2 linked regions of the Kluyveromyces lactis genome follow. The protein of the gene in region 2 purifies or fractionates together with the protein of the main gene of each other region. This does not show direct contact. Links are inferred from orthologs where the notes say so. Each region holds a gene or a part of one and is shown on either strand. Other genes may lie near its edges. The genes, in order: SMC3 and CDC5.

Region 1 (17,126 bases), on a different chromosome or scaffold from region 2:
GGTGCTTGTCTTTTGAAATTGGGTTTATTGCCTCTTTTGTCAAACGCTAAAGCTTATTATTTAGAACTGCGAATATAACCTCATAATCTGGAACATTCTGAACGGAATGAGTGATTAACGGATTAAGGTGTTCTAGCGAGAGTTGTGAATTGATGCTCCTTTTATTATTCACTTTCTGTTCTTTTCTTGAAAAGACACAAGGTAGAAACCTGACGATAATTATTAAAGTCCTTTACCAACTATAGACAGATGGGTACTCTCACCTCACCTACGGTTTACTGCAAATTAGAGCATTGTGCAAGTTCTTCAACTTCACTTCATTTATAGGATGCTGTTAAAGACACTATGACGAACTGATCATCAAGATAATGGCACCGTACGCGATCTAACCGTAGTTACGACAATAGAGGTTTGCGTTGACACTACGGAATTTACGTTCCTGTGACCTCGTGGTAGATAGTTACACTGATGCAGTTCGCATTAATACAAAAAATGTATCACGGACGCAGCAAGAAGTTTGCAATAGAATGGGAAAACTCATGATGAAACGAACCTCTTATAATTCTCTTCATGGTTATTTTAGGAATCAAGTAAAACTTGCTCTGCATCATGACCAACCTCATCCGCCATATTCTTAAGAAATGTTGAACAACAGCTATTGGAGTCCATGGTGCTCAATTCCACGAATTTATTATCATACCTCCATTGTGAGTGTGAGCAACATATTATGATCACTAGACATTAATTATTTAATAATTATTAACAGTTTTTAAGTGGAGTTCTTTCTTATGTCTTCTTTTCTAAATTTTGTTTCGAACATCTTTTCTGGTGATTTAACACAAGCTACACAGTCTCGGTTAATCCCTTATTATTCCTTCTGTGGCTTGTTATTTACTCTCATGCGTGATGTTTATGCATAAATTTTATCATATATCGACGCAATAAACATTAAAATCACGTGCTTCTTTGGTAACGCAATGAAGGAACCTTGAAACAGCCAGCTTAGTCATGATGCCAATTACGCTACATTGAATCCTGCTATGTGGGAATGGATGATATTCAGAATTTGTGGTAGGAGTTTGACTTATTAAGCATATTATTTATAATGTTCTCCTTAGTTTCTTCTGTCAGGCGGACACATTAATGTAGAACAACACTAAATATGATGTCAGATCCAATGGGGAAATTGGTTGAGGAAACCTTCTACTTATATAATTTTGAATTAGCTTCTCAATCGCCGAACGCTGCGATCTTGATCCAAGTTCGGCACAGGTTCAGCTTAACGGTAAGCAATGATTCCATGAATGGCCTTGGAAGTTCCCTTACACCACCATTAACAACAAACGTTTTAAAAATTAAGTAACCAGACATTGTTATTCATGTTCAATTTTCATAAGATTTTCTTCTTATTAGCGCTCTCGTTTTATGACAACACTCAGATACTTTTTCGTTTCATCACTAATTAACAATACGGTCTACTATGCAGTAGAAGTTTTCAACAAAATATTTCTGCCGGAACTAAAATGCTTGTTGAGGGAAAGTACTGACATGAAAAGCACTTTATTTAGTAAGGTTTTATGCATTCGTTCCTCTTTGTATAAGATATATTTTTAATAACTGATCGGTATAGTAACGTCTGCTTTTTGTGTTTTTGTTCATAGAAGGTACCATGGAGTGACTCGGTACATTAAACTTGTAGCTGGCTGATTATTATGCGACAAAATCTTTAGAAGTCTGAAAAATTCCCTTCGAAACAGCAAAATTGATAGCTCCCCAATTGGTATGCTGAAGTATTTATTAAACATTTCCTTGTGATTTCATGGAAGAAATGTTCAGAGGCCATTAGCAGTCATAAAGTGTGTCGATAAAAAGCTATATAAAACTAGACACTAAGTAAAAAATTGAGGTAAAAATCCCCTTGATTCAATCAAGCAGCAAAGTGCTTCAAGATATCTTCAGCAGCCTTGATACCACTAACAGCCATAGCACCGAAAGTTGGACCCATTCTATTCAAACCAGCATGTTCAGCAACTTCCATACCAGCAAAGTAAACTGAACCAACCTTATCGTATGCACCAGCGTTCTTAACAACAGCGTCTTCAGCTCTGTTCATGTCCAAACCCTTCATACCAGCGTAGGACTTAGAGGAATCGATGGAAGCCATACGTTTAACAGTGAAAGCACCAAATGGACCATCGTGACCACAACAAGACAAGATAACACCATGCTTCTGTGATAAATCCCTTTCGCCATTATCCTTGTAACCAGACAATTCGATGACGTTTGGATCCATACAAGATTGGGTGTCGTGATTTTGAGTGACTAGAGTCCAGTTAGTAACAACACCAGCGACGTTGACGTGCTGAGAATTATCATCGGCTGGTCTGGTGACAAGATCTTCAACTGCAGTAGCATTGAACATCTTCACGTTAGGGAACTTCAATACTTCACTCAATACAGTAGACATGAACAAAGCAGCGTGTTTAACAACAACGTAATGACCCTCATCTTCATATGGAATGTTCAATTCGTCCAAGAATTTGTCTGCTGGTTTACGCATGATCATGGCAGAGAACAATTGACCTCCTAACCAACATCCACCACCTGGAGCAACGTTGGCTTCAATAATGGCAATTTTCAAGTCAGGTCTGTTCTTAGCAATGACGTATGCAGCAGATAGACCACTTGAACCTGCACCAATGATAACAACATCGGATACGGCGAACTTGTCCAAATCTTTGAAATAACGAGAGGTCATTGCACGAGAAACAGTTGCTTCCCTAATTGGAGCAAATGCAAAGTCTGACCAGTCGTCTTGTTTGACAACATCAGACAAACAGTGTTCGACACTTTGAGATTGGACTGATAGTTTGTTTTGAGTTTGAGTTTGGGTGGTAGACATTTTTGTTCTGTTGTTGCTACTTGTAAAGTATCCTTTGAATTTAGCTGCTACTGTTCTACAGCGAGAATCATTGATATAACACAAATATAATACCAGAAGGTTAAAAGGGAAAAGGTTGAAAGAGTGGGCCTTTTTATAATTTTAGTTCTCTAACTAGAATGCTCACTGCCTCTTAAACTTCGAACAAAGACCGTGGTTTCACGAGGCTTATCGTCACCCACAACGTTGGTTGGACATGAACCTGTTAGCATTCCATACCATATTACTTTGCCTTTTTTTTTTTTACTGTTAAAACTAATTTCCTTAATGTCTGTACCCTTACTCCGTTATTATACGAATAAGCGTCAGTTAGGAATATCTTGTTAACAGTGATAGAGATATCCGCCAAGGTTCCATGAAAATTGGCTGATTACCAAATCGAGAGTAAACGGGAAAGATAATCGTTCGTTTCCAAAAGAAAAATGCCCCCAAACGTTCTCTTTAACACATCAGTTGATCGCTCAGTAGATTTTGTCCTTTTTGTGAGTATTAACTCTTGGCCTTTAGTTGAATTTCTACCCTTTCTATCGCTGCATATAAAAAAAATACTGTTTTCCAGAGTAACTCTTAGAACAGGCGACAGTTTTTTTTTTGTTCTTTTCCAACATTACCTGCATCCCACACAATTTCCTTAAGGGACATAATTGCTGACGAGAGCATCGTAAATTAACATATACCTGTGTGTATGGTCTGGCGTTTGTCGATAGAAGACCTCATTGGCTGCCATTATTTGCAATTTGAGGTATGAACCGAAAACGAAGGTTTTTAGCTCATCGTTGGCGAAAAAACGTCAGTTTAGGGTGCAAAAAGTAAACTTGGTTGGAAAGAGATACAGGTAGCCCAAGATAGATGACGCAGTAGTACAAGATTTCTGAATTGAAATCTACATTTCCGGTCCATTGAAAGAGTTGTTTGAATTTATTTCGTGTTAAGATGTGGTAGCCTTTCTTCCTTCATTTTCAGTACATAGATACGTGAAAGGCGATTGGAACTATCCACCAGATCAAATTCGGTTATCCTATCCTTAGAATTGGCACTGACATGCCAACTTCTATGAATCAAGAATTACTTTTATTTTTTGGTACTCTAGGTGGGAAAGGCACGCATTGATTCACAATAGAGTGTCCAACGGTTTGAGACATTTTGGGTTGGCTGTTTCGACATCCAACTAGAAATAAATCACGTTTTGGTTATTTAAGTGAAGACAATACTTTGCCAGTTAAAATGCATAAGCCTGTGACTTGAAATTCTAATATTTGAGAGATTGTGAAGTGTCACCGGCTTTGGGCGGTTGGTTCTCTTCCTTAGAATACTTACCAAAGGGGTCTTTTTTACGATGTCGTTCATTGTATTGCATTGTTTTTTTGACCTCAGCGCATACCCATAATATCATTCGTCAACAATAAAGTCTAAAAAATATTAAAACAGTGAGGCATATCAGATTATAGGTATAATGTAGGCTCCTTAAGTTTAAACAAGGTTGTACCTACTTTTCAGGCTGAACATACCAGCATCGCTCGAAGGAAACGTTGTAGATATAGTCATATGCTGCTAAGGTGAATTGCAAAAGCAAAACCGTAGATCTTATCTTTGAACCCTATGAACGGAAGACATGCAGTGCTGGTCATGAGAACAGACATGTCCAAGTTTCTTAATATGCATCAAATAAGTACGTTTTTACCAGTCCATCATTCAAGTACTAGTACATACCCTTTTGCTTCTGCTATGCTATCCTATCAGAGCATTCATTTATAGCTTAGGATGATGAAATTTTGTTCAAGAATGCTTAATTTTTGCCTTTTTGTACCTCGTCTCTCAAAACTCAAGAATCATAAGTTCTTTGTTTGATAAATGCTGCTTGAAATAATACCCCGCGAGTAATATACGTGCCGTTACTAGAAGAAATTATATCACCATTCACACTTATATTCTTTTCATTAAGATTACTTACTTAACTTACTTATTTAGTGAAGATCAACGTTGTAAACAGATTCAAACCACCGTTCATCAAGATCAGATCGCAAATTAATTATCATGACAAGTCTTACGAGAAATTTAGAGCTTGTCAAGATACAAAATCGGCGTTGGCATATCGTAATGAGATATATCTTTTTGATGATGATGCTTCTTCAACGAAAACAAGCGATCCTACGTATCGCATGAGTTGTTTTTTTTTATCGTTTTCCAACTAAACCCTTTTTTTTTTAGGTTTTTAGTATTCCCATTCTACCTTTCAACACGTCACTTGATCATTCTAAGGTTGCCTCTTAAGCTAACGCTAAGAGTCTATTCTTTCTCAGAAATCCTAAAGCAAAACTGAGCCAAGACAATATGTTTGAACTATATAGCCCTGTCAAGATCCTCGCATCTGTTGCAACAACACTTTCATTTGGATACTCATCAGGTTTGGTGACCAGAACCAGCGTTAACACATGGTACCCTACTCTCATTAAACCATGGTTTACACCACCAAACAAGCTTTTCCCAATTGCTTGGTCATCCTTGTATTTGGTCATGGGTATTGCTGCTGGTATAGTATGGTCACACGCTAGTAAGGGTAATAAACTAGCAGCAACAGGCCTCAAACATTTTGCTGTTCAATTTGGTTTAAACATGCTCTGGAGCTATCTCTTCTTTGGTCTCAAATCACCGGGTCTTGGACTAATTGAAGTAACTGCGTTATGGTTTTCTATTTACAAAACATGGTCGGTGTTCACACTTGTCGACCCTACTGCTGGGTGGCTTATGGTCCCATACTTATCTTGGGTAAGTTATGCAACTGTGCTCAATGCTAGTATTTGGTGGTTAAACCGTTGAATGCAAGTATTCTTTTCAATTCTACCCATGTTTGGTACGACGGCCGATTTGCAGAAAATCGTAGCAAGACTTCCGTGTCATCCTGAATGAGTAGATATATGAGTAAATATATGAATAAATACTGAATCTTGATTTTTTAAATGTACACATTTCCAGTTAGCTGCAATCAATGCTATAATGAAATCAGATGTATCTAAGGCAAGATCAAAACAATGTGTGATGGGGTTTAGGTAAAGGTAAAGGACGCACAGTGACATATGAGTTTTCTTTCGTAGCGACACCTGCGAATGCGTCGTACCAGGCAATGAAAGCGACTATTACACCAACGACACCACCTGCCCTTGTGACGTTGGTATTCTGTGCAAATTCACCAATAGATAGAAGAAGGAAAGTAATAGTCAAAAAGAAGAACAACGAGAAGAATGCAACAGTAGATTTCATTGTACACACCGTCATACCAGCAGTGAAGATTGCCCATCCTAGCAAAAAGAATCCCACTGCAGAAGAGAACTGTTCTGGGTGTTCTTTATAGGCATCGGCTACACCGAAGAATGGGATGTATAACGCAGAAAATGACATCCAAAATCCACCAAATGAACTTAGTGCAGTACCACCAAATGTGTTTTCCAACGCTATTTCCCAAATCCCTGCAATTAGCTGAACCAAACCGCCATAAAATGCGGCTGAACCGACAACAACATTCGGTATCGTGATTCCCATTGCCCTGGCATTGAACATTGAAAGTACGAATGTAGTCAAAGCAAAAGCCGATAACCCTAATGGGGCAGGATTAGCGAATTTATGTGTTGAAGGTGGCGCTAGCCCAGGGTTCAAGGTACCACCAAAAGCAGTAAATAAATCTTCCTTCAAGAACTTTTGACGACCGATGAAAACGAATTCGTGATTGTCACCGCCAGTATGAATCTTTTGCAATTCCAAATCATCGTACGCAGAAGATTCTGATGGATCGTGGTTTGCCATACGCATCTGATTCTCGAAATGATCCCCCGATTTTTCATTTAGGGACTGGTCTGACATTATATTCTCTTTTGTTTCTTTTGGTCTTTGAAAGTATGTCTCACGCGAATATTTTGTACTGGAAGGTCAGTGAAGATGGATAATCCCAAAAGTACTAAATATTGAACTGGAGCTCTCTATTGCTGTTGTATCCAAGAGTTATTCATTCATTCTGTTCTTAATGTATAGAATGACGGAACTTCAGCACATTATGTCTTTATATACGCTTTCAAGTCTCAAACCATATGCCATCTTAAGTCTTAACGTCAGCATTTCATGCTTATATCGCAAGCAAGTTACAGTGCATTTCTCCTCACGAACACTCCTTGTTTAACCCTCTCCGTTGTATCGCGCACTGAGTTTCTGTACCGAAAGTTCTTTCTGTCAACCGCTTTCTTTTCAATCATTATTGATCATCCCAGAATTATAGCATGGTAACTCAAGAAATTGTCGGAGTTTGTGGACTTCGAATCCCAAATAGGAATTACCCCTCTGGTTTTTGAATCAAGTCCGTTTCGTATCTTCCGATCTTTTACAAGTGCCGAACTCTACTACTGCTCGAAAGAAATTTATAGCGACGGGATGAGCTTCAATAACAATAGCCGTATGATTACAAAGCAGCATCAGAATAACCCGCTAAACTGCAAACGAGCCTTTACAACAGGCTGTGATCACGGTTCAAATCCTGAGAATTGGGCTACAACGTTGTTACTGAGGTGACCAACAAATTTTGCCTATTTCCTTGCCAGCCTTACTTTGCTGAGGTGATTGGCTGTTCCAGAAAAGCCAACATACCAGCCGGTTTGGGAAATTGAGAGGGTAGGAAAATTAAAAAAAAAAGGTAAGAACCGGAACCGATGACGATTAGGGATAATTCTGTGTCCCCTTCCAGTTCCCGTTCTGCCCATTTTTCTTTCAAGAGCGGGGCGCTGAAAATAGTCCCACGCAAATTCGGAAGAATTATAGGACAGACGGGAAGTTTTACGACACAGTACAAAGGGTGCAAAGCAAACAGGGATTATCAGCAATGAAGTTAATATTTTTTTTTACGGGGAACAACGAAAGTCACGTGAGCTGAGAATCATTCGCAACTAAAAGAACACATATATATGTATGGACAAACAAAAAAGTGTGTGGGATTATGCGGGTTGACTTTCTGTCATTATAGCCGATTCAAACCTCGTACGGTAGTAATCACTTTTTGATGGCTTATTTTCGAGGTCGCAGCCGCACAACATCAGAATGAAGCCCGTTTCCATTTGATAGCAAATCGGCGGTGTGTTCGCTTTTCTTCCTCAGTACTCTATATCCTTTGTAAGTCACGTGATTACTTCAAATTGTGTCCTGCTCCCAGTCGGGCAAAATAGCAAAGGGGGGCTAAAAAAAGAAAGCAATCATCTTTGCTCACTATAATCGATGATTTTGCTAAGATGATAACATGTTCCTTAAAAGAAAACAAATATTAAATGCATCGCACTTTATGATTAATTTCCAAAAAACGCTGTCTAGTTAAAAGTTACTCAGATACACGCATCCCACATAGTCTGAAATGAGCACAAACGTTATTAAAGTCCATTGGCTAAACCAATCGAGGGCCTTCAGGGTTCTATGGTTGTTAGATCATTTGAAACTCGACTATGAAATCGTTCCCTACAAAAGAAATGAACAATTTAGAGCACCAGAGGAATTAAAGAAGATCCATCCATTGGGTAGAGCACCAATTTTGGAGATAGATTATAAGAGTTCTGACAGAAAGGATATCCTTGCGGAATCGGGTTATATTTTCCAGTATATTTTAGAAAATTTCGACAAGGAAGGAATTCTTAACAATGCAGATCAACAGAAGGCCGAAAAGATCAAATATTATCTACACTACGCTGAAGGTTCGCTTCAACCACCTTTATTCATTGAATTCCTCCTTTCAAAGGCTAAAGAGGCTCCTGTGCCATTCCCCTTCTCTTACATTACCAAGAAATTCGCCGACAAAATCAGTGAAAAGTATTCTCGGGGAGAGGTGAAAAACCAGCTAGATTTCATTGAGACCGAAATTGAGCAAAATGACGGATACTTGGTCGGAGGTAAACTCAGTGCTGCTGACATTTTATTATCGTTCCCCTTGGAAATGGCTTTCGAGAGGCAATTCGCCAGAACCGAAGAGTATCCAAATATAGCAAAGTGGTTGGAGACTATCAAAAGGGAAGAGTCTTACTCAACTTCAAAAGACAAAGCCAAAGCGAATGGCGCCTCATTCTAAAAATGGTTCCTTACATACAAGCGATGGTGCACGTTCTGATCTCAAGTTATCTGCTGATTCGAACTTTTGTCCTGAAAGACAATTGAGAGCGCACAACAAGTTTTCTCTACTATATAACTCCGTATTGCCATAGCATCATTTAATGTTTTCTATCTGACAATGGATAAAGTGGTTTAACAAGCGCCATCCTTGGATAATGATAAAAAATCGAAAAATACGAGGTTTCAGGTTATATTTGGAACCTACAAATGCGGTAACTAGTGTTACTGTACTAAGCTCTTTCAGGCAAGAGAGAGTTCTACTGAAAGAACTGGCGCATGAAAGCAAGAGTCTCAACAGATGCGTTCAAAACCCCACTTCCCTATGATTGCAAACCATATGTATATATATATATATACATCTTCAGACATAGCTAGTATCATAAACGAACTGGATTTTATGCACAGAAATTCCAATATGTATCCTCAGAACGAGATTATATTGAGGTGAAACTCAAAGTATTTATGGTCTCAACTAGGAAACTGCATCGATAAGGTTTGACTCTACAAAACGTAGTATAATCGGCGTAAGGTCGTAAATGTAAAGGCTAATGGCATCATATTGCAATAGTTTTCACATATGATAAAAAACCAATTATATTGTGCATTACTTATATAGCTATATCTGCATTGAATAGTAAACAATATCACAGCTCTTCCATTTTATTATTACCTCTGCTAAAATTCACTGCATCTTGTCTAGACACCTCCGTGACGGTGGAGACTTTATTTTCAAACTTCACTCTGAAGAATGTGTCTGCAACATTGATCATATCTGTCCTGAATGTCGTACAAATAAATTGAGCTGTGTCAGAGAGGTTTTTGATGGTTCTTGCCACAGCTATCCGATATTGCTTGTCCAAAGCGGCATCAATTTCATCAAACAGATAGAAAGGAGCAGGGTCAACCATTTGGATTGCAAGTATTAAGGCAATAGCACAAACAGTTTTTTGACCGCCAGATAATTGTTCCACACGCAACTGTTCATCTTTCTTCGAGTTGAAGGACACTTGAATTGAAACTCCTGTATATTTGCTCTCATTCAATGCCTCTGCTGAGTTTTGTTCCTGCCTGGCCCCTCTTCTACGTTTTTTAGTTGATACTTCCGAGTTATCTGTGTTTTTACGATGATTGATAATTAACTTGCCAATTCCTCTGGGGACCAAAGTCGCAAAGACACGACTGAAGTTGTCAGCGACTTTATTGAAGGTTTTTTCTATAGCAGTGATCTTCTGTTCCTTCAATTGGTCAATCAAATTTTCAATAGACTGCTTTGATTCATCTAGTTCTTCAGCTCTTGAAGTGAGCTCGCCTCTCTTATCTTCAAACCTGGTGTAATTTTCAGATGCTCGCTTGTTTACATTAGTCATTTTTGATAAATGCCCGGTAGTAGTGTTCAATTTCTTGAGAATTTCATCACTAGCAAGTGGTTTATATTTTTTTAAGGATTCTTCTGCTAATAGCCCTACCTCCCTAATCAATTGTTGCAATTCCTCCTTTCTTGAGTTCAGAGTTGACTTTTTCAATAAAACTTTTTCTGCATTCTTCTGAAAGTTCGTAATCCTTTTGACTAGTGATCGTTGTTGTGAGTTGGCTTTATCTAAATCCTTTTGAAGGGTTGCTTTCTCTCCTCTAAGGGATTTGATACTGCTGTCTAGTACTGATAATTCAGATTCTACTTGTTCTTTTGTCCTTGTCACAGTTTGTTTCTCCATCAGAACAAGTTCCATTTGGTTGTTGATCTGACTGATTTGTAAACTGTGTGAAGAAGAGGGCTTTCGCTCCAGCTCATGTAACTTAGGAAGTAGCTTTGAATTTAATTCAGCGTTGAGCTCGTCTAACTTAGAAGAAAGTTCATTCAAAGTTGACAAATTGAAATTCAAAGACGTTTCTTTCGTTTGAATGCTATTGGATATAGCAAGTAACTCGGCTTTTTCATCTGCATCTAGTTCATTAACAAATGGTTTAGATATATCCGCAGCAAAGGCATTTGTACGTTCTCTACATTGTTCAAGCTCCGTATCGATTTTGTTTAGTCTCGCCTTCAAAGCTTTTATAGAGTCATCAATCGTAATTTTCTGAGACAGCTTTGCTTTCAACTGACTCCTAGCCTTTTCTATGCCTGCTTCATACGCATCTCTCTCTGCTGCAGCATCCTTAACAACATTGTTTAGGCCATCAATTTCCTGTTCGATACTCTGGAGCGCCTGTTTAATCTCTTGAAGCTCTACTTGAATTTTTTTATATTCTCTTTTCGATTGTTTGAAGTCTCGTAAAGTATCCAGTCTATTACTCTTGTACTGATCCAAGTAACCACCAGATAAAACACCTTTACTGTCTGCACGATCACCGTCTAAAGTTATAGCATTTAGTTTGTATTCTTTGGCAAGGGAAGCACCATCAATCAAGGATTTAACGACAAGAGTTCGGCCAAAAACCTGCTTGATCACTTTCTCAAATTTCACGTCATACTTGATCTTTTTGATTAGAGGTGTACATTGATTTTTCTCCAAGTTATTTGGATACGTAAAGTTGGTATCCACATGCAACTTATTGAGAGGAATAAATGTTACCCTTCCACCTTTCGTTGCAAACAATTCCTTAATTAATAAACTTGCGGTCTCTTCATTGTCAACAACAACATTGAAAAGGGAGTTGCCTCCCACGACTTCTGCACATATTTTGTATTTATCGCTTACCTTTATCAACTCGCCTACAGGGCCAAAAACATGCTCATGTAAATTTAACCTATTAACAATGTCATTGACATTTTGTAGACCAAGTGCTAAAGAACGATCAATTGTTTCATTCATATCTGACTCAAACCTTTTGACATCATTATCGAGAGAGGTGGAAATTGTTTGTAGTCTTTGTTCAGTTCTCCATAGCTGTTTTCTTTGATCGATTTTCGTCAAATATTCCTTCTTGGCTTGTGTTACTTTATTTTGCAAGTCTTCCTGCTGAGCAACAGATCCCATTCCATTTACTGAATCGGCTAGGTCTTCAATTTCAGCATTTAAATTCTCTAAATCATGCTGTAGTGTACTAAGTTGGCTAGTCAGTTGATCTTTTAATATATTAGATTTATTCAGCGACTGGTTTAATAAGTTAATTTGTTCTTGGATCCAGTCATTTCTTTCGTTTACCGTACGAAAATCTTCATACTTCCCTTTTTTTGATAATAATTCTCTTTGCCTCTTTGTGAGTTTCTCGATTTCTACTTTTAAGATTTCTGCTTCATTTGATAGTTTTTGGAATTTTGGTTGTACCTCGGCAATTGACGAGCAGTTAATCTCAATTTGTTTCTTTACTTCTCCGATTTCTTTGACATTTGATTCCAAATGCGCTTGTGAAGCATCCAATTGCATTTGAATATCGTTTAACCTAGTGTCTAAATCCGCCAATTCCCCAGCAACTTCTAGCTTCGATGCCTTTAACTGTGGTAGATCAGTAGACTGTTTTATTTTAATCTCACTTTCTAAAGAATTCATTCTCTTGTTGAGCTCTACTGCAAGCACTTCTCTTTTTTCCAATTCGTTAACATACTCAGAAGAATTTTCAATAATTGAATTGTACTCACCTTCAAGTTGTTCAATTTGGTTCGTAATATCGTTCAATTCCCTATCGTATAAGCAAAACTGTAAAACTTTTCGATCTCTATTTAGATTGTTGTACTTTTCCAATTCTTCCTTTTCATCGGACAATTCGCTCAACCGTTTGTCAAGTTCGTTTAATTCATTAGTGATTTTCGTTCTATCTCTCTCTGCTGCCTCCATCTTTTTCAAAGACTCTTTCAGTTTGTTTTCGAATGATTTTGCACCTACAACGTCCTCTAATAGATGCAGCCGTTCTAAATCTTTCGCGTTGGTCAAGGATATTATTCGCCCTTGCGGAACAATGTTGTAAGGATTCGAAGTTGAAAATCCTACATTTTCTAAAACTCTTCTAACGTCTTGTCTTGTTGAGTTCTTGTCATTAATCATGTATTCATCCTTCTTCAATCCCACTGTCCTTCTAATTCTGACCTCTCCAGTATCGTTTCTTAACGGTGCAAGCATTAAGTTCTCAGGATCATCAAAGATAATTTCAACGAATGCACTCATTACTTGCCCTGCACCTTGGTAGATAAAACCCTTCCTATCTTCACGTTTTAAGTTTGAATTCTCTTCGCTTAAGACGAACCTAATAGCTGCAAAGAAGTTCGACTTACCAGAACCGTTGGAACCGACAACAACATTGTGATGGGGTGAAAAATTCTCCACCACGGTCCGATTCTTGTAAGTCTTGAAGCCACTGATTATAACAGTTTTGATGTGAACCATTTCAACAGTGTTGTAGTCTGTCTTCTTGCCCTTGTAATTACTCTTATTCCTAGAGCTTTCTGATACAGGACGCGTAAACTTAACTTGTTTTGTATAATTTTGTATGTGTTTATGATATTCATTTTTTTTTATTAAAGAAGGACGCGTTTCATAGACAGTGTATAACATAAACAAATTTCAACTCGTTACCCTAACATGCTAACTTAAATGCAACGGTAAGCTTCCTTCTTCGAAATGTTCAAAGTATTTAAATGGATCCAATGTACGCTCGTCTTTACTAAGGCTTGATACGAAGTTAGCTGCTTTCCGATGTAAGTGTTTAAATGGATCATAAACTATGATCGGGTAACTACCAATGTAATAGGCGGTTAAGTATCAAGATGATACATAACGGGTGTTTCGGAATGAAATATCATTAACTAATCTGAATTATTATATAAGGAGGCATTAGATCTGGACAAGGACCATCAATACAGTCATGCCAGATCCCCAGGTGCATCAACATACACTACTGGATATATAGCTAATAAACGCTATGGATTCATCAGATACCAAAGATCTTAATTTAACAGCACGTGACTGGAAATACCAGCCACATCAACAATAAGGTATATTGAGAATCTGCTCCAACACTGAACAGGCATTGGACACTGTAGTCTAGTGGTTTAGGATACTCCCCTTCCATAACAATGATCTTCAGGATCATAGGCGAGGGAGTGACACGGGTTCGAATCCCGTCAGTGTCAATTTTTTCTTTTTTTCTTAAACGCATTTATTATTGAATAATTAATGACGCAAAGGGGCGAATTGGATAAAAGAATTTCGTTCTGAATTCAGCGTTTATTCAGACTTAATACATACAAACGATAGATATTTATTTGCATCAATTGTTTAGAACAAATTTCTGAATAAAATAGTTGTGGAATCTGGCATCATTATCGGACAATTCTGGATGGAAAGACGTTCCTAGAATGCGTCCTTGTTGACTGACTGCCACTATTGATCCATCTTTTAAAGTGTACAATGTCTCTACATCATCCTGAGATAATATCTCTTCTATAATTGGGGCTCTAATGAAGTAGACTTGGAAACCTGTGCAATCAGGAATAAATGAAGAAAAGTCACATGTTTCGATGAACGATTCAGCCTGACGACCAAACGCATTTCTTCTCACCTTTACCTTTAACAGGTCGAGCGAATTTACCAAGCTCGACTCATTGCTGAGTTGTTTAGCTAAAAAAATCAATCCAGCACAGGTCCCCCACACCGTTTTAGTGGGGTCGTGAACGAATTCAATCAAGGAATCAAAAAGTCCTGTTCTTTTCGCAATTAGCGAGATTGTCGTAGATTCACCACCAGGTATAATTAAAGAATCACAGGAGGAAAGCTGTGGAGCAGTCTTAACTGTTATTACTTCTATATCATGTTTATTATCTTCAATGGCTTTATTCAAAAGGGCAATGTGTTCTGCAAACGCTCCTTGTAGAGCTAATACGCCAATACGCTTTGTCATCATCGTCACAGTGTCATAAAGAACCATGAAAAGGCAAAAAACGGTGTAAATTGAAATTCAAATGGAAATCGAATAAAGAAAAAAATAGGCTTGACGGATTATCAAGAATTTATAGATAAAAAAGACCAGATCATATATGTATGCTACGGGCTAGACACTTCTATAATTTATACCAAGCACGCAAATAATAATCGAATGGCCTTTTTAATTTCAACCGGCATGATTACCGATATGGAATGGCGAGCAATCTATTACTTTCCTCCTTAATGGTATGTATCTGTGAAACGAATATTCTAAGTCGAGATAGATTATGTAAAAGAACATCAATGGGTTATATCATGTACAAGGTCTTTACAAGGCGTAGCAGTATGCAATTAATATGATGCCGTTAAGAGTACGATATTTGACTTGAACGCTGCCCAGAATTGCCATTCGATGAGAGATCCAAGCACCCTGAATGATTTTCTGTTCGCATGGATGATTCATCCCTCTAAAGTAAGTATCTCGCATCTGACTTGAATGAGTCAAACTGTAAAGGGCCTTCCTTTTATGATCAATTTTTGTTACTTTTTACCGAAAGGTACCGAGAAAAAAGGTCTAAAAGGCATTCAAAACTGCGCAGTTCGTGAGTGAATATCTGCACGAAATCCGAACTGCCCCACAGTGATGGTGGGCAATGGCATTCACATGCCTTATTGGGTGGTAATCCTTAGCATGGCAGAAATAAAAACTGTAACAAAACTCCAAACCCGAGGTGTAGACTTGAGAATCCTTCCAATGTTAAACAGGGAAATCTTCAGCACTTGTGTCTATCTATGGCGAGCTCCGCCGTTATTTGGATGTATATAAGTATAGCCTTGTGCAAGAAATGTACTTCACTATAAGGAAGCTTTCAGTTTTTGTTTAGGTTATTGTCGTTCTTTTCTTGACGGAAGCTGTTGGCAGTATCATTACAGCGACAAAGACGTATTAAGGAATATTAAGATATGGCAGATTTCAAAGTTAAAAGTGGATTGGCTCAAATGTTGAAGGGAGGGGTGATAATGGATGTTGTCACTGCTGAACAAGCCATAATTGCTGAGAAGGCAGGTGCCTGTGCAGTTATGGCCTTGGAGCAAATTCCTGCTGATATGCGTAAATCAGGAAAAGTGTGTCGTATGTCAGATCCAAAAATGATAAAAGAGATCATGAACAGCGTCAGTATCCCAGTTATGGCAAAGGTTAGAATTGGCCATTTCGTAGAAGCACAAATCCTTCAAGCTTTAGAAATTGATTACATTGACGAAAGTGAGGTTTTGACTCCTGCTGACTGGAAAGGACATATCAAGAAGAACGATTTCAATGTACCATTTGTTTGCGGTGCAAAAGATCTCGGTGAAGCACTTAGAAGAATAGAAGAAGGTGCAGCAATGATCCGTACCAAGGGTGAAGCTGGTACTGGTGATGTTTCTGAAGCAGTTAAGCATATCAAAAAGATTAAATCTGAAATTAAGGAATATCAAGATACTCTCGGTGATGACACAGATTTCATTAAGCAACGCGCTGAATCTATTGGTGTTTCTTATGAGTTACTAAAGTATGTTTTGGATAACGGGAAGTTACCAGTTGTGAACTTTGCTGCCGGTGGTGTTGCCACTCCTGCCGATGCCGCTTTATTAATGCAATTGGGTTGTGAAGGTGTATTTGTCGGGTCAGGTATCTTCAAATCTTCTGACCCAGAAAAGCTAGCTCGTGCAATTGTGGAAGCTACTACCCATTACGATGATGCAGAAACTTTGTTGAAAGTGTCAACTGATTTGGGTGACCTAATGGGTGGATTGTCAATAGAATCCTTGAAGAACTCCGAAAACCCTAAAAGGTTGGCAAACATCGGCTGGTAGTTACGAAACAGTATACAGCGATAGGTATTTTTACATATTCAAGTAAAGACGAACAAAAGTTTATATTGATTTTATAATGCTGCTTTGTTAACAACTTATCAAACAAGAGAGTATCAGCTTTACAATTTAGGAGTCACAACCTGATTAACGAGAGAAGCTGTATACCATTTTTCAGGCAAATACTTAATAACGATAACGAATTGCGTAAAATACAAAGGAATAGTCGAATTAAGATGAACCAGGACTTTCAGGAGTATATGACTCTTACATAGCCCATGTTTAATTCAAAGTACTGCCTCCATGAACTAATCAGTTTTTTTTTTTTGTTGAGATAATGTACCGAC
Region 2 (16,712 bases):
ATATATAGTTGCTTTCTAAAGGACTACTGGGTGACCCCGTTTGAAATTCCGAGACTATAGTAGAGTGAACGATGACAGAGGGAAGACGTTTATCAAATCGTTCTAGCATTCGCAACACCACGCATATATTCAACGATACTTCAAGTAAGACGAAGGGTACTAAATTCAAATTTAAGAATGGTTCTGGAACTCGGCAGTCTCCAAACAAACAGCACATATCGTCGTCTCCTCCAATATTAGAAGTTCAAAACATCGCCGATGTAGACACATCAAATACTTTTGGGCAATTCAATCGAATTTCACAGCCACCAAGTAAGAACTTGAACTACGATACTCCAAAGATCAATGTAAAACTAGAGTATCATACAATGCAAAGTTCTAAGATCATTTACAAGATAGATGTTCCAATATCAAGTAAATCAGACATGGAAATTTCTCCCGTGATAACAAAGTTGATCAACGAAACCCATGAATCAGCTGAAGCATTCAAACTTTGTAATGACAATAGATTCGGTTATACCACATTGGACGCTTTACCAGCTGTTTTGAGCAAATATATCTCCCAGAATATGAGTGTTCAAAGGTTACCACAAAGACCTAAAACAAAACATTTGTACAATAGAGTTGATCAATTGCTGGCTCAAGAAAATCAATTCTTTTCGGCAAATGACAGTATAGAACTAAGTTTTGATGGAAAAGCTATGAATAAAAATGATATCTTCAGAATTGTAGATTCGTTCTCGGTGGCATTTGACGATGATGAATATGGTGAAGATGGTGACGACGAATACGTGAAACAGCCTAGGAATATTCTCACCAGAGAAGTCACCGGTGTCTTCTAAATAAAGACGTTTGGTATATGATACTCTCAAATACCTCATTAGAATAAGATTAATATTTCTTTGATCTCTATATACATGAAAATCCTAATATCCTTTTCTTTATGTAAAACAGAAGATGTTCATTGTGAGCCCAGTTTCTTCTCTGTTAAATGTTTCTGGTACATTGCTTTGTTTGTTATATTGTCTGGTATGATCCTTTCTATACTCTCTTTTCGACAGTAAATCCAGGATTTGATTTTCTTAGCTCACGCTGTTCTGCCTTACTTAAAGCTTTATCGGCAAGCTCAACGCTCACAAGCTCCTTTATCTGAGCGACAGCACCTGCAATAGATGGTGTAGCTGGTTGATATGCGACAGATCCTCTTTTTCCGAGTCCTAAACTCTTGACCACTGCCCTAGTCTTCTGTGGAGTACCAATGACTGACCTCTGTAATGTAATTCTGTAGAAAACCATGGCTATCTTTGAAAATTATTATGATAGCTATGCTTTTAGAAACCGTTCGCTAATACCAGTAATGAAGTATAATTTCCTCGGTCGTAAGTTTCGTTGACAATATAGAGAACTATGTCAAAAAAAAACGCTCTTTTAAGAGATCTTGTGCATCATTATCGAAGAGATTAACTGGGTATTCAAACCATTAATAGCCAACGTACATTGATTTTTCAAATAGCATCAAAACGTATAAAGTGATATCATGTGATGTATATTGTCTAGCAGCTCATCGCGTATGTCATTTGGGCACTTCTCACAAACCGTCGCAGGAAAGTGCTACCTACTGAGAAAGAACCAGGAATTGCATATAAAGATCTCAAGATTATATCTCGCTGTTTGAATATTTCTTCCTGAATATGAAGTTGCATTGAAATTGTCTTAGGAGGGGCATTTGCTTGGTTATGTATATATATATATATATATATGTCATTTCTTTTTTTCCAATATTTATGCCCGATTGAATAATATATATATATATCATATTAACAAGCTCTTAACGCCATGGTTGGTTAGATCTCTCTAAGGTTTATATCGCCACTATACACTGCAAAGTAGAAGTAATAATTTGAGCCAATATGGCTGGTAGTACGCAAGACACCGGCGTCAAAGACGTTCCAAAAGAGCTTGTGGAACAAGCAAAAAAGCTATCGATTACTGATGGGATGGACCAGTTGAAGGTAGAAGGTAAGAATAAAGTAAAGGACAAGAAAAGTAAGAAAAAAGGCAAGGCCTTGAATGAGATCACTCCAGAGTATATCGCTGAGATGCGAGCTAAGAGAGAAGCTGCGAAAATAGCAAAAAAAGAGGCTCTTATTGCTCAAGGTATAGATCCAAAATTGCCCGCAGACCTTAGATTTATCAAAAGGCCGATGTTAGCTGTTCCTCGAGATTCATCAGGCCAATCGACGAGAGAGGTATGTCCAATCAGTATAATGACGTATAATTGTCTTGCCCAAGCTTTGATTAGAAGAACACTGTTTCCTACGAGCGGAAATGCTGTTAAATGGTTTAAAAGATCTCAAGTTTTACTCAATGAATTCAAATATTACAATGTTGACGTACTGTGTTTGCAAGAAATTGACACGGTTCAATACAAGTCTTTCTGGAAAATGGAGTTCACAAAACTAGGTTACATGTGTCAATTCCATTTTAATCCTACCAAAAACCACGGAGTATTAATTGCTTGGAAAGAAGATCTATTTGATATGACAGATAAGATGTTAATTGACTACGACAAAGAAACAACAGGTGCCATTGAACCAAGAACAACTACCAAAAATGTTGGCATGTTGCTTTCTTTGAAGTTTAAAAAGAAAGTGCTAGAAAAATATCCAGACACCAAAGTCAGTGGTATAATTATTGGTACCACACATTTGTTTTGGCATCCATTTGGCACATATGAACGGACAAGACAATGCTATATTGTACTAAAAAAAGTAAAAGAATTCCAGAATCGAATCAACGTTCTTCAAAACGAAAAAGACGGTGATAATTCACATTGGCCAGCATTTTTCTGTGGCGATTTCAATTCTCAGCCGTTTGATGCCCCATATTTGTCCATCACATCAAAACCAGTGGAATATACCGGAAGGGCTAAAACAGTTATAGAGTGCAGCACTTCATTTACCTTCTCTAAACTAAGAGATGGGGATGAAGGAGAAGGAGAAGAAGGCGGCAACATTGAAAAATTTGGTAAAGGTCAACCTGAGACCCCCGTGCCAGAATCTTTTTCCGGCAACGAAGAGCAAAAGCAGTTATGTGAGAACATGAAAACCCTTCATAATGACATTGACATGCGCGCTATATCCTTGTATTCAATTGCTTACTCGAAAGTTCATCCTGAAAACTCAGGATTGGACAACAAGCGTAATGAACCTGAAATATCTAATTGGGCACATGCATGGAGAGGTTTGTTAGACTACTTGTATTATGTTACATCATGGGATGGATGCGATTGTACTAAGATAGATGAGCTATCAACATTTGAGCAAAATTATGGAGTTCAAGTTCTTGAGCTTCTAAGAATACCTCCCGCCAAGGAAATGACAGAGCATGGACAACCTCATGAAGGTGAATATCCTAGTGATCATTTGTGCATGATTGTTAAACTGGGAATCATAATGTAAATATTCATAAACTGTTTAACTATGGACTACACTACAGATTAAGCTTTGCTTTCTTATTTTTGGTGGGTTTCGTATCGACTTCTAAGTTACTCAGACGGTTGTAGAAAGAATTCCAAAGTTTCAGGTATTTTACTAACCGTTGTTGCTTTACGTCATCAGATTTCGCAGAACTGGCAATTCGTGCATAAATCTGCTTCACCTTTTGAAGGGTTTCATCACCTTCATCTTCAGGTTTCGATTTATCCACCTCAATCTGTAAAAGGTATTCCCTTAATATTTTGAAATGCTTTTGTAATGCAGGGTTATGAAAATCTGATGGTCTATACCCATTTTTGAGATTGAAGAAGTTTATCAAAGTTTCTGTCACTTTGCTCATCACTTTATAATCATCTGATTCTATTAACGCAGAATGATTTAAGAAATCAGGAAGTTTTCGGACCTCTTCCATAAATGGAACCTTGTAGAGATAGAAACCTTGGTTATAATCTTTCTTGGAGCTTGGTGTTAGGACAAACATGGATGGTGGAGAGTTTGGCCGTAGTTTTCCCCAGACCATTGCAGACTTCTTTTTGAATAACATTGTTCTATATAGTGATGCTAGTGTCTTGATCGAGCCTGCATAGTCTTCCTCGTTCGGTACAACAAAAGCTGGTACGTCAATGTTGTCATAATAGTGTAAACACTGTTCCGTTGACCTGAATCCTATTAACTTCAAAAATGATTCATGTTCGCTGTATCCGCTTTGAATTTTGAGATTCTCGTCTTCTGTTAATTCTATGATCTCATCGCCAAAAGTGTAGACCTTAGACAACTGACTATTATCAACTGCTTCCCCAGTTTCAGCGTCTAAATATTCTCGGTGAGAGTATGCCTCTCTTCTGACACTACCGTTGGCATATACAAGCTTGTATTTCGAGCCGGGTATCTCATGAGAGACAATAGTATATCCATTCACTGAAACTACCAAATCAGCTCTTTCATCTAACATCAAGGGGCATCGGAATTTGATTCTCTTGATTTCCTTTGTTCTTTTCACTTTCGATTTTATGTACGATGCATTAATGGGATTAGTACTAGGGCCGTGTGAGGATAGCCATGATTGTGCTTCGTTGATCTTTGAACCCCATTTCAAGATATCTGCATACATAGAATCGTCAAATGGTTTATCTTCAGAACCAATGAAAAATGTGACAAAATTGATATAATAGTCATATAAATCGTCGACAACTTTTCTAAGACGAGATCTGCTGTCAACGTTCAAGAACTCAGCCGGTTTGTCGTCATCAGTAAAAAAAAATATTTTCTTGTTAGTCAGTTGCTTCTGTCCTTCTATCGGTTGTAAAAATGTTTCTCTAACTTTGATCAATACTGGAGAAAGTTCAATTGGGTTGTTTGGGTCTGCGATAGGAATCTCATCTTTGAGAAGTATTCTATCCTGTTCTATATCTTCCAACAGATCAGATACACGTTTCATATTCTTATAGTTCACATCACGTAACGGTATTAGTTCATACACATTATCTTCAGCGTTAGGATGAGAACAGTTGTAAATATAACAGCCAACTGCAGTACTTGGCATAACAACTACCAATTGTGACATTAAATCATTTAGTGAATCTAAAATCTCTAAGAGTTGAATTTTGCCTCCAAGATCAGGGTTTGAAAGATACATCGTGGGTGTTAGCTGAATACAAAACACGATACCATCATGTGCTTCGTAGCGTCTCCATTTCTTGTGATCACTTTCTTTATCATCGTCTCTTGTTTGAGTCAATTGACTCTTTAAAAAGTCAGGTTGTTCGAAAGACATCTTAGGTGCAATGGAATTTTCTATCGAAAACTGACGTAGTAACCCACTTTTTAGATCTTCAGTTCTGTGAAGGTTACACTAACCCTTTTCATTTTAACCTAAACCTTGAATCCTTCATTTACTTTGGTTATCTATGAAGGATCTCGTCCCTGATTTTAGAATTATCACCATTCACGTGATCGTGAATGACTTTTACTTTGAGCATGCTCGCTAGTTCCGGGAATAGATTTTAGCAATAGAGCTGTGATAGTAGTTCAGGATGGCATTGTCCGTTAATTCTGAGCTAACGATTTGGATCATGAATTTAAACTTACTTATATATTCTTCTATGTCATATCCCTACGTTCAAGAGCATTGAAATTTAGTTCGAAATAATACAGTTTTGATATGAAAGATTCAATGGGATGTATATCTCTTACAGGCAGATACGTTATCTACATAAACGACTGCTATTAAAGGGTTTGAGAATCAAGTTTTAATTCTGGTATCAGTCTCGTCTAGCCTTATCTTTACCGCAATCCTCAACCCCAATAAGAAAATATTATTGAAACATCTTCTGCGAACCAGGATTGTTACCAAACACTCAACCGCTGGGATCATTTTTGTTCAAAAAGAGCATCATAATCCAGTGACCGATATGGCTATAAAATTGAAAAATCGGTGGCTGGGCGTTGCAATACCTGCATTTCTTGTTGCATTGATTGGGTATGGATCTCATTACTTCATTCTTTCGAACTTTCTTTCATGGAATGAGCAAATATTCTATCAAACATGTCAAACTATGATTTGGGTTTCATACTATTTGGCCATTTATACCAACCCAGGTATACCGCCAAAGGATTTTAAGCCGTCTGCGGAAGAATGGCATAATTACTGTAAAAAGTGTCGGGTTTACAAGCCTGAAAGGGCCCATCATTGTAAAACCTGTAATCAATGCGTATTAGCAATGGACCACCATTGTCCTTGGACGCTCAATTGTGTTGGACACAGCAACTTTCCCCATTTTATGCGCTTCTTATTCTGGGTCATTTTCTCTACTGCTTACCTATTATTTCTCCTTATTGGAAGAATCTATCTACTTTGGTCCATAAGGCATACGGCTTTTCATCATAGGTCTACATCAGAGATCATTTTTATCTGCATTATGACTCCTATGGATGCATTTGTATTGCTCACAGTTTCTTCACTACTAGGAAGGTGTATTTATAACCAATGTTTGCATGGTATGACACAAATTGAATCCTGGGAGATGGACAGAATTCAAAGTTTACATTACAAGAACAGGCTTTTGGCTCAAGTTATAGACCGTTTGGTGGAGCGAAGGCCCGAAATACTTCCCGCCAAGCAGCACGAAATTAATAAATTACTCTCAAAAAGATATGTGAATCAAGAAGATTTCACCAACTTCCCATATGACGTCAACCCATGGACCAATATTAACAATGCAATGGGTCCTTGGTATCTTTGGTTGTGGCCGTGGTCCAAGCCGCCAACTATAGGGACATCATTCGCCAAGAACGAACTTTTTTTCTATGATCCAAATTCATCTATAGAGGATATGCTTATGTCTTTACCTTGGCCTCCTGATGGTTTGACACATCATTCCCGGGCTTTAGGATCAGGATCATCAATCGAGACGATAGTTTCTGGAGGTGAACAAGTAATAAGAGATAAATCCGTAGATCTCAGGGATAGGTTAGGGCGGAATTCCTGGTATAACGATTGGGGAGAAGACCTATCCGATTTCGGAGTAGATACTGAACTTGAATAGGGTAATATTACTACTATATAACTGCATTATATAACATGAATTTGTTTATTTTACAATCGTGTATGCAAAAACTACACAGCTTTTTCAGGAACATCTTCCTTAGAGATTGGTTCGTTTGGTTCTTCAATTTTTGCAGTAATTGTCAGTGTTTGGTCAATTTCTAATTTACCTTGTTCCTTCAAAATTTTCATTTTGGACTCTGCGCGTCCAATTATCTCAGTGCTCAAGTTTTTCTTCCAACCCTTAGAACTATTCAAGAATTTATCCATTTTTGATGCCGGTTGAGTGCTTTGGGAGCTTGGGAACTTATTAACAGATTTTCTGGTGAACACATCAGTTGAACCACATTCGAAAGTTAGTTCATAAGTTTCTGGGTGTATGTTAACTTTGAGCTTGGATTGAGAGACCCCTTCTGGTGAGAACTTGTCATTCTGTTCCTCATCATCAAGATATTCCGCTTCTTTTTCGATGATTTTCCCAAGGAAGGGTTGGCTGATATCTTCCTGTGTTATCCCTTCGGTAGGATGAGACAATGAATAAGACGTGACATAGTAATCCCATTTTTCTTTCATGTTTTGAGGCTCTTTTAATGTCAAATCGTCCACGGCAACGTATTGGATTGATACATGTGAGCTGTCGGTATTGTATTCAATACGGAACATATTCTCAGATTCTCCCATGGTGTTCCTGACCTTCAATCTATACAAAATCTGATCCTTTGCAGTGGTATCCCTTTTTAGTCTGTCTTGTTCAAACAAAACCATCACCATGGCATTTTTTGGATCCGTTATGATACTATGGGCATGTTTCACTAGTGACTGGACGACTTTGTCGATGGTGTAGATTTTGAACGCCTTATTCTTGTACGCTTGACGTAAACTCTCTTCGAACCATTGATGATCTAAATCACCAGTTATCAATCTTTTCGAAAGTCTTAACAACTCACCATAAGCTTTAGTGTCTTTGAAAGCTAGACCCATGTCAGCCAATTGTGTCGAAATTAGATTTAAATCGCTGGCAAATTGTACAATTTTCCTGTTTTTAATCTCATCAGTAACCTCAGCATCTATTTTCTTGACTTCTAATAACCGTTCATAGAGAGTGTTCAAGTGACGGAAGAAAACATAAATGGTTGTGTTAGTGAAGAGATTGAAAATGTGTCGATCGGATACTATCCCACTATTATTGGCTTCATCAATAAGGCTTCCGAGTAACCAAGGTTTGGCTGCCTCTTTGGCCAAGAGTTCAGTCTCATCTTCTTCATTCGATTTTACGGAAGAGCTATTTTGATTCTCTTCGGAATTCGAGGTTTTTGCATTCTTCGTCCTACGCAAAATGTCTTTCATCAGATAAGAGTCTTCATCAGATAATGTTCTCTTATTAGATTTTTCTGAATCGCTTTTATTAGAATCTTCTTCTCCATTTTCTTGGTCAGTTATTGAAGAGCGTTCAGATACAGCTTCATTAACATCTTTGATTGGATACGAAAAGAATAGAGATATGAACGCCTTGAAAAAATGATCCAATTTGATCTTATCCGAATTGGAATAGGATGCATTAGTCTTAACGAACGTAAACACCAAATCCAAAATATCATACAAAACTTCACGGTCATTTATCTCAAAATCTAACTGACTCTTTGGTTTAGGTGTCAATGGATGTATTCTTTTATTGGTTTGATCAACCTTTATGCTGCTAATTTCAGATAGTAGTTGTTTGGTAGTCAACAATTTCTTGTCGGCTTGTTTAAAGGTCAACCCTAAATGGTCCAACGATTTATAGTAAACCTTTTGCTCAAGTTCTCTCCAGACCTTATTCCACTCTCTCTGAGCTCTTCTCCATTCTTCATCCTTTTGCTTTAATCTTTTCAAAACAATGGGCACTGTGACAGCTGGGTGCTCGTGTAAGGCGTCAATAATCTCAAAACCTCTGTCTTTATCGTATACTTTTCTAACGACTTTCTTATAAATTGTTAGGGAAGTATGACCCAATCCAGGAGGAAGCTTGAAATTGTTCTTTTCCTCGTTGGTCATGTTTGCAATTTTATTAGCAATCGTTTCCAAGGTTTGAATTGTTCTTAAATTGGACTCGATGTAGAAATCATATTCGTGCCTTTCTTCTTCTACCTTGAAGAGTGTGTCCTCATATTGATTCTTCCGATGAGCAATGAACCCAGAGTCCTCTGACGCCCACACTGGATGACCCACCCATTCATCATTCAAAACCTCCCAGCACATTTCGTCTCTTCCAGAGCATGGCATGAAGGTATCGTCTTTTGGCAATTTTTTATAACTTGGGCCGCATGCTTCGCAGAGGTCCAAGTCCAATCTATGTTTTTCATGTACTATATTTTCGATATGTTTGGGTTTTTCTTGGTAGCCAACAAAACTTTTGAACCAATCGAAAAGTTCTTTAGAGCTATGCAAATAGAATTCCACCTTCGAGACCAATTCAGAGGTTGTTAGAAGATCTTGTGAGTACAAATTAAGAATTTTCAAAAACTCAGCGTAAACTTGCTTGTTTCCAATAAACCTTTTCACTCTTTCAAAGAACGTCACTTCATCACCTAATGCAATGGCATCTTCAGGAGGTTGTATTGGTTCTGGTACGACGGGTACAAGACTTGGGTCCAAGTCAATTTCAGGTCTAGCCATAGGAGCTTCCATGTATTGCACACCTTCAAGTGGTTGAGGATAACCTGGGGCACCCTGAATGTACTCTACTTGATTATAAGTGCCATTCATGGTTGATCTCATTTCAGATACAGGAATATCCTGGTTGGACATACCTTGTGTCACAACATGTTGAGGTATCACGTGCCCACCTGCAATGTGCTGGTGCATAGATGGTAGCATATGACTATTTTCAGCCGGCGATGCTTGGCCTGAAGCAGAAAAATTTCCTAATGGAGGAAGGTTCGTCGGCTGCATTAACACTCCAGATTGTGGATAGAATCCTTGTCCCTGCATAGATTGATTTTGTTGTAAGTAAGGTTGGGGTGGGAGCATTGCTTGCTGATTTTGATCTTGCGGTAACGGTTGCTGTTTTTGCTCATGATGTTGCTGCTCCTGATCTTGTTGGTGTTCCTGTTGCTGATCTTGTTGTTGTTGCTGTGGTTCTTGTTGTTGTTCTTGTTGTTGCTGTGAAACAGAAGAGTCCGGCAAAAATTTCTTAAAATCGTCCAAGAGATCAGGGTTATTTTGGAAAAGGATCGTTACTTGAGCATAAACCTCATGAATTGGTTTCTGTTCCCTCTGGTAGGTTTGTAAGATTTCCAAGAATTGTTTATAGATATCAGGCTGGTCAGCAAACCTAGTTTTGATTTTGTTGACATAGCTTATGGCATGAGAAAATTCTACTTCGCCTGTCTTTTGCTGTCCAGGTAAAGCACCAAGCATTCCACCACCAGCTGCAACAATTTTTTGATTGACAAATTGATTCTCTAACTGTGGCGGTTGAGGCTGTTGTTGAGCTTGTCTCTGTGGTGGCTGACCTTGTTGCTGAGGAGACTGTTGTGAATGTAATTGTTGAGGTTGGGTCTGTGATTGTGGTTGCGAAACAAGCATTGCAGCCGAGGTTGCAGATTGATTCTGCAACTGATCCTGCAACTGCTGATGTTGAATTTGATCCCCATTATTGAATTGAGGTTGAGAGACCTGCTGCTGCATTTCAATATTTTGGTTTTCAACATTTTGGCCAGCTACGGGTGCTAATTGATATTGTGTAGGTGGTCCAGCAGAAACTTCACCGGTAGTTCCGAACGGTGTGGTAACTTTGATTGGATCGTTTGGGTTGGTAGAACATTCGATTTTATACCCATGAGGAAGAAAAGTATTGAAACCTTGAATCAAGTTCGGGAATCCTTGGAAAAGAGTCGTTACTCGTTGAATTACTCCAGGAGTATCGATAGCCTGAGATTTGAAGTCCTTCATAATGTCCAAGAAGTGGTTGTAGACATCCGGTCTAGAGCTGAATTGAAATTTAACCTGTTCCAAATACGATAAAGCATCCTTGACGTTCAAGGGCCTATATGAAGAATACTGAGCTTGTTGCAGTGGATCCTGTCCCACTGTCATAGCATTTTCCACCTGGACATTGTGCCCCTGAAGTAATTGCTGTTGTTGCTGTTGATGCGTAATATCTGGTTGTTGAACGATATTGTTAATTGATGGAGTAGGGATGGCGCCCTCGCTATTCGTTGAGACAGGACCGTTACTCCCGGCGGCAGAATTGATAGGAGTTCCTCCATTCTGTAAATTGATGTTATCCATTCGGTTAGAAACACCAGACAATGGTCCGTGGATGTGAGGGTGCACATGCGAATGTGAATGGGAATGAGAACGTGCGTTTTGCTGGCCTTGTACCTGTTCCTGTCCTTGACCCTGGGAGGGCTGATTTGATCCACTAATAGTAGAAATCGATGGTAGGGTCACGTGATGTTGTTGTTGATCATGTTCCGGTTTTATCTGGATGTTAACGGCGGGAGGCGCGAGCTGAGGTAACAGATTTGGACTGTTCTCACTTTGACCTTGCACACCATTAATCATTCCAGTCGATGGTGGAATTTGTTGCTGCTGCTGCTGCTGTTGTTGTTGTGGACCATCCGGTTGTTGGTTCCATGGCGCCGACATCTTTTACCCTCGAGCACGATTGCCAAATTTTGTACTAATACGATGCGTTAGATAACACGATCAAAGAATAGATGATAGCAGCGCTAATCGTGGTCGTACCTCAGAGCAGTTAGATAAGTTCCTTAATCAGAATCAAATCTCGATGATTGATAAAGAAAACAATAAAAAAAAAGGAACAGGACCAAAAAACACGTCGTGAACAATGGTGTACTCCTTAGACTATGAACTAGATACTCAAAGTACTGGTATAAGCTCAAAGCAATTACTCGATTATCCGCCCTTGATATCGCACAGAGAAGGTTATGTCTTGTCTCGTTCCCCTTTAGATTCTGCAACCGCATTTAATTTCCACTCTAAATACATACTTTAAAGAGTTCAAATGTTAAATTTCAATTTATATGTTTTTTTGAATCTTTCCATTTTGAATTTTTTTTTTTTTTTTTTTTTTTTGGTCTTGGGAACTGTCGACATTTCGGGTCAGATTCAATATCACGTGCCTGAGGGTAACCACTTTTCATTCACTGATTCTGATTGCAGTTCGCTTCTCAACATGAAAAATTCACAACAGAACTTTAAAGTGACCATAGACAACATTGTGTGGGTTTGGCAGGAGAAGGCAGCGCAATCCAGTGACAGATTCAATCAGTGGCTCCGCTAGATAATATAGAGTAACGATATGAATGCTCCAGATAGATTTGAACTTTTTTTACTACCGGAAGGTGAGTCGAAGCTTAAAGTAGAGCAAGATACCAAGGCATCCAGTGCTATTATAGTAACGTTTGAGAAAGAAGACCACACTCTAGGGAATTTGATTAGAGCCGAACTTTTAGAAGATGAAGGAGTTCTTTTTGCAGCTTATAAGGTAGAGCATCCGTTATTTGCCAAGTTTAAAATGAGAATTCAGACTGTGGAAGGATACGATCCGAAGGATGCGTTGAAGAACGCATGTAATAGCATTATCAATAAGTTGGCTCAGCTGCAGTCTAACTTCGAAACAGAATGGAATTTGCAAACGTTGGCTACTGAGGATTATGGTATGTAATAGTGTTGGAAATTGCTCAAGTGTATTAAACAAGTGTCAGGTAATTCATCTTTTCAAAAGAATTATTGAACCTCCTTCGGTTTTTCTCTATCCCCTCTTCCCTTCTATGTATTATTTTCATGAACTGTGTTGTGTTTCGGCTATAAAATAGGAGAGCGTATTACTATCCACCGTAAAGTTCAACGTTCATTGTGTATAGGACTATTTCTTTTGGGTTTTTTGGGTATTATCAGTACAGAATAGTGACCTTGTTTGCAATAAAAAAACCTTGGAAGGAACAAGATATTCGAATTTTGATATCTTCACATCTTTCTAACTTGTATACATTTGTTGTTACTTTTAAGATACAGTTTTTCTGGTGAGGGATCATGTTAAGATTCAATTATTAATTTATGTTAAATTAAACAAATTTATTCTGGCAGCCCCAGGCTTATTTCATCACAGATTCAAAATTAACTAATGAAACAATGAAATCTGACAGGTGAAGATATTTTGATACAGAATGGATGGCAGTTTTAGAAGTTGCAATCGGGGGAACACAACGATCAGGAATAGCTGGTATCATTTGGTATAAATCGTTGGATGCAGGAATGCGAAAAAAATACATAAAGGCGCTTGATGGACGTAGCCATACATGCTGGCTTGTACAACCAGATGAAGACATTCAAATGCAAATTGCATATTATCACAATGACATCCCTACCTAATGTATTGTTAGAACACTTGCTTTATCTCTCAAGCCCTCCTTCATTAGTTCTAGTTTCTCGAATATATCAATAGAAGGGAATCCTGGTACACATCCATCTATTAGAACACTCGAAAGCAGTAACGTTATCGTTTTACGATCAGATGAAATAAATGTTAAGAATTTACCTCCATGTGACAATGCAAATTTATTGTGATCCTTGAAGTTGAATTGGAAAGTACCATCACTCAACTCAAACATAACAAACTGTTTATAACGGGTGTATCTTCTCAAGAACACATCATCTTTATGATAAGTTTCACGGACCAGCGTAGAAATTCTACTCAAATTGGAGTTCATGTAATTTGAGAAAAAATCGACCACTTCAAGGTGTCTTGTTAATTCAATAGGTTTAGATTCTAATTTATAATGGCTTGCAACCCATCCTTCCTTAGTATCATAGTTAATATACCAGAATTCTTCCGCATCTGCTAGCTTTAATACTGTGGTTCCGTTGTTGAATAACACCCCGATATCGTCAGTTGATAACTGGTATGCAAATCCATGTTTGTTCGAATAGTCTACCCATTTTGTGACCACGATTGGGTCTTGTACGGTGGAGTCTGGAGAAGGATAGTTTGATTGCCTCTTATCTATTTCGGCACTCTTGATCCCTCGTAGTGTCATGTGGCATTCACTTGCAAGTATTTTCAGCGACATTTCGGATTTAATCATGTTAGTTGAAGTTGCCACCAACTCAGGCTTGAAGAATAGATTCTCTCCGGCTTTTTTCAGTCGATTTTGATATGCCATCTCGTTAAATTTTCTGTGGCCATCAAGATCGATAACTTCTTTATATTTATTTTTGGTTCCGCCTGGTGACAAGGATTGTGGTAAAACAGCTCTGTTTCTTTCTTCTTCTATTTCTGTTCTCACTAACTCAATTGGATTCTTACTACCATCATAAGAATGAGTTTGTGAGCTCTTAAGTAACCCTGAGTTTAGCATACATTGTTTCAAGTTAATCAATGACTCGCTGAAACTGAGGTGATCGAAATTTGGAATCTCCTTGGTTATTGTAGACGGTAATCTTGAAGGGAAAGTATTTCTGAACCATACGTTATCAGTTATTTCATATAACGATGGTCTGGCGGCTGGATTTAACTGTAAGAGATGTGAAATCAAGTTTTTAGCATCTGAGGATACCGGTTTGTCAGCTGGGAAAATGAAATCTCTACACTTAATTCTTTCATAGATTGTTTCAACTTCTTTTGCCTGGAATGGTGGTTTACCGAATAGCAATGCATAGAGCATCACACCAATTGACCAAATATCAACCTCATATGAGTGACCAGTGTGCTTTCCGGTGAGCACTTCTGGAGCAATATAGTTAGGTGTACCACAAATGGTATATTTACGCTCTTTATCATTTGCCAAGACAGCAGCAAGACCGAAATCACCGATTTTTAAGTTGTACTCTTTATCGAAGAAAATATTTCCAAGTTTCAAGTCTCTATGAATAACTCTTCTACTGTGCATATATCTTATGGCACCAATGATTTGGATCATACAGAATCTTACTTCAGGTTCCGTCAAATGTTTTCTTTGTCTTAATAATTCCATAACAGATCCGTTTGGACAGATCTCTAATAAGATATAAACGTTAGTATCATCTTCGAAACAGTCTGTAAATTGAACGATATTGGGATGTTTCATAGATTTGTGGATCTGAATTTCTGATAGTAATTTCCTTCTTGTCTTTTCAGATTTGATAGACAGTTTAGCAACTGTCTTCGCAGCAAATACTTTTCCCTTGTCATCCTTCATTTGGAAACAACGAGCAAATCCTCCCTCACCTAAGAAATGTCCTCTGTGGTAGTCCCGTCCTCTAGTCTTGATCAACGATGGAGGTGTTTTGCATAAAGAAGAGAGTTTTTCCTTCTTCTTTTTCTGAGGCGGCTGCTGACGATTGATATTATTATTATTATTGTTATTATTATTATTGGTGGGTTTACCATTCGTAGTAAGTCTATCTATATGATGCAGCTCAGTAACAACCCTTTTAGCCTTGATCGGTGTATGAATATTATTCGATCGAGCATTTAGCTGTTTATCGTTGATGATTTGAAGTGGTGGTGCAGACATGATGTCTGATTATTTTGTAGCTCTTTGATGGAATGATACTCCTGCGAGCTTTTGTTATGTCAAACACCCTTGTCGAACCAGTATACAAGAAATATCACTGCAATGTGTGATAAATAGTCTACACTTATCAACCTCCAGTAACTAATTTCTTTCTTGCGTGTATTTCCTTGGCCCGTCCAATAAATACCTTGCAATTAACGGTTTTGTGGCTCTCGATCAAAAAAAATGAATCTACGACGTCAAAGCACTGGCACCGTTGAAAAACTGAAGCGATTTAGGTTAACAACAGCAGAATGAGTACAACAACCAAGATTCTGACTGTTAAATGATGTTTCCGCTCACTGTAAGTCTTCCTTTCACCTGCAAGTTTGTAAACTAATATCAGTGATGTAAGTATTCCTAAGAATAATCGAACTTTCAACTGAATTATGGCAGTCGCAGTAAAAAAATGCTTCTAATATCAAAAGAACCCTTGTTATAAGCACTTGATACGTCTCAGGTAAGATGGTAACAATTAAAGGACTGAGTTCCCGCCCTCTCTTATGCCAAGTATGCTCTTAGGAAGTATGTAAAGAAAGACTGTATAATATTAGAATCTGACTTTTTTCCCTTCCAATATAATAGTATATTATACCAAACCCAGTACTTTTAAGCTGATATAAAAGCCAAACCAGTATACAAGGATACCCAAATAGTAATATCAATGACAATGAGCTACCGCAATTTACTGTAACTTCAAATTTATTCAAACCGACAAATTACTAGTTTTGTCAACTTTGAAAACACAAAACCGACTATTTACATTATTGAATTTTTTTCGACATTAACCAAATCTGTACAACGGAAATGAACAAAATGTAAACAATAACAAAACACTCAATGCGGTAAGTGCCAAAAACCCTTATTTCTTTAAAAGGACATTTTCCTAAGTAAGTATCTAATGAAAAAGCAAATAATTACCTTACCCGAATATTAGATCACGTGAGACTTTTTTTTTTTTGGGGGCAATTTTGAAAATTTACGGTTGTTCTATTTTCATTTTCACTTCTGCCCTTTACAGGTTAATATCTGTTGAATGTCTTGGATTCTTGAAAAATCAAATCTTCAAGCATTCGGTAGAAAAAGCTGATCTATTTTTTAGTAAGAGAAGAGGCACTGTCCTGATCA

What was found.
Region 1: the proteins of CDC5 (region 2) and SMC3 purify together in Saccharomyces cerevisiae (affinity purification with mass spectrometry; 4 studies listed by BioGRID, with this or other methods). This does not show direct contact. The link is inferred for Kluyveromyces lactis from reciprocal best matches to the Saccharomyces cerevisiae genes CDC5 and SMC3.

What each region holds. Positions count from the first base shown.
Region 1 is NC_006037.1:12,310-29,435, forward strand, and holds SMC3 (cohesin subunit SMC3), read right to left. Parts: upstream 13,390-17,126; coding exon 9,715-13,389; downstream 1-9,714. Other genes in the region: THI4 (thiamine thiazole synthase), read right to left, coding at 1,928-2,902; KLLA0_A00220g (TspO/MBR family protein), read left to right, coding at 5,273-5,758; KLLA0_A00242g (acetate uptake transporter family protein), read right to left, coding at 5,963-6,796; GTT1 (bifunctional glutathione transferase/peroxidase), read left to right, coding at 8,325-9,029; KLLA0_A00352g (pyridoxal 5'-phosphate synthase subunit PdxT), read right to left, coding at 14,273-14,929; KLLA0_A00374g (pyridoxal 5'-phosphate synthase subunit PdxS), read left to right, coding at 15,889-16,782. UniProt on the Saccharomyces cerevisiae protein: Involved in chromosome cohesion during cell cycle and in DNA repair. Central component of cohesin complex. The cohesin complex is required for the cohesion of sister chromatids after DNA replication.
Region 2 is NC_006039.1:539,242-555,953, reverse strand, and holds CDC5 (polo kinase CDC5), read right to left. Parts: upstream 15,546-16,712; coding exon 13,419-15,545; downstream 1-13,418. Other genes in the region: KLLA0_C06292g (uncharacterized protein), read left to right, coding at 72-842; MRPL33 (mitochondrial 54S ribosomal protein uL30m), read right to left, coding at 1,042-1,296; NGL2 (RNA exonuclease), read left to right, coding at 1,911-3,461; ATP-dependent DNA helicase YKU70, read right to left, coding at 3,493-5,271; palmitoyltransferase PFA4, read left to right, coding at 5,909-7,042; transcriptional regulator SIN3, read right to left, coding at 7,114-11,673; DNA-directed RNA polymerase II core subunit RPB11, read left to right, coding at 12,350-12,715. UniProt on the Saccharomyces cerevisiae protein: Protein kinase required for the cell cycle where it is involved in mitotic exit. A component of the fear (CDC14 early anaphase release) network which promotes CDC14 release from the nucleolus during early anaphase. Phosphorylates SCC1/MCD1 and NET1.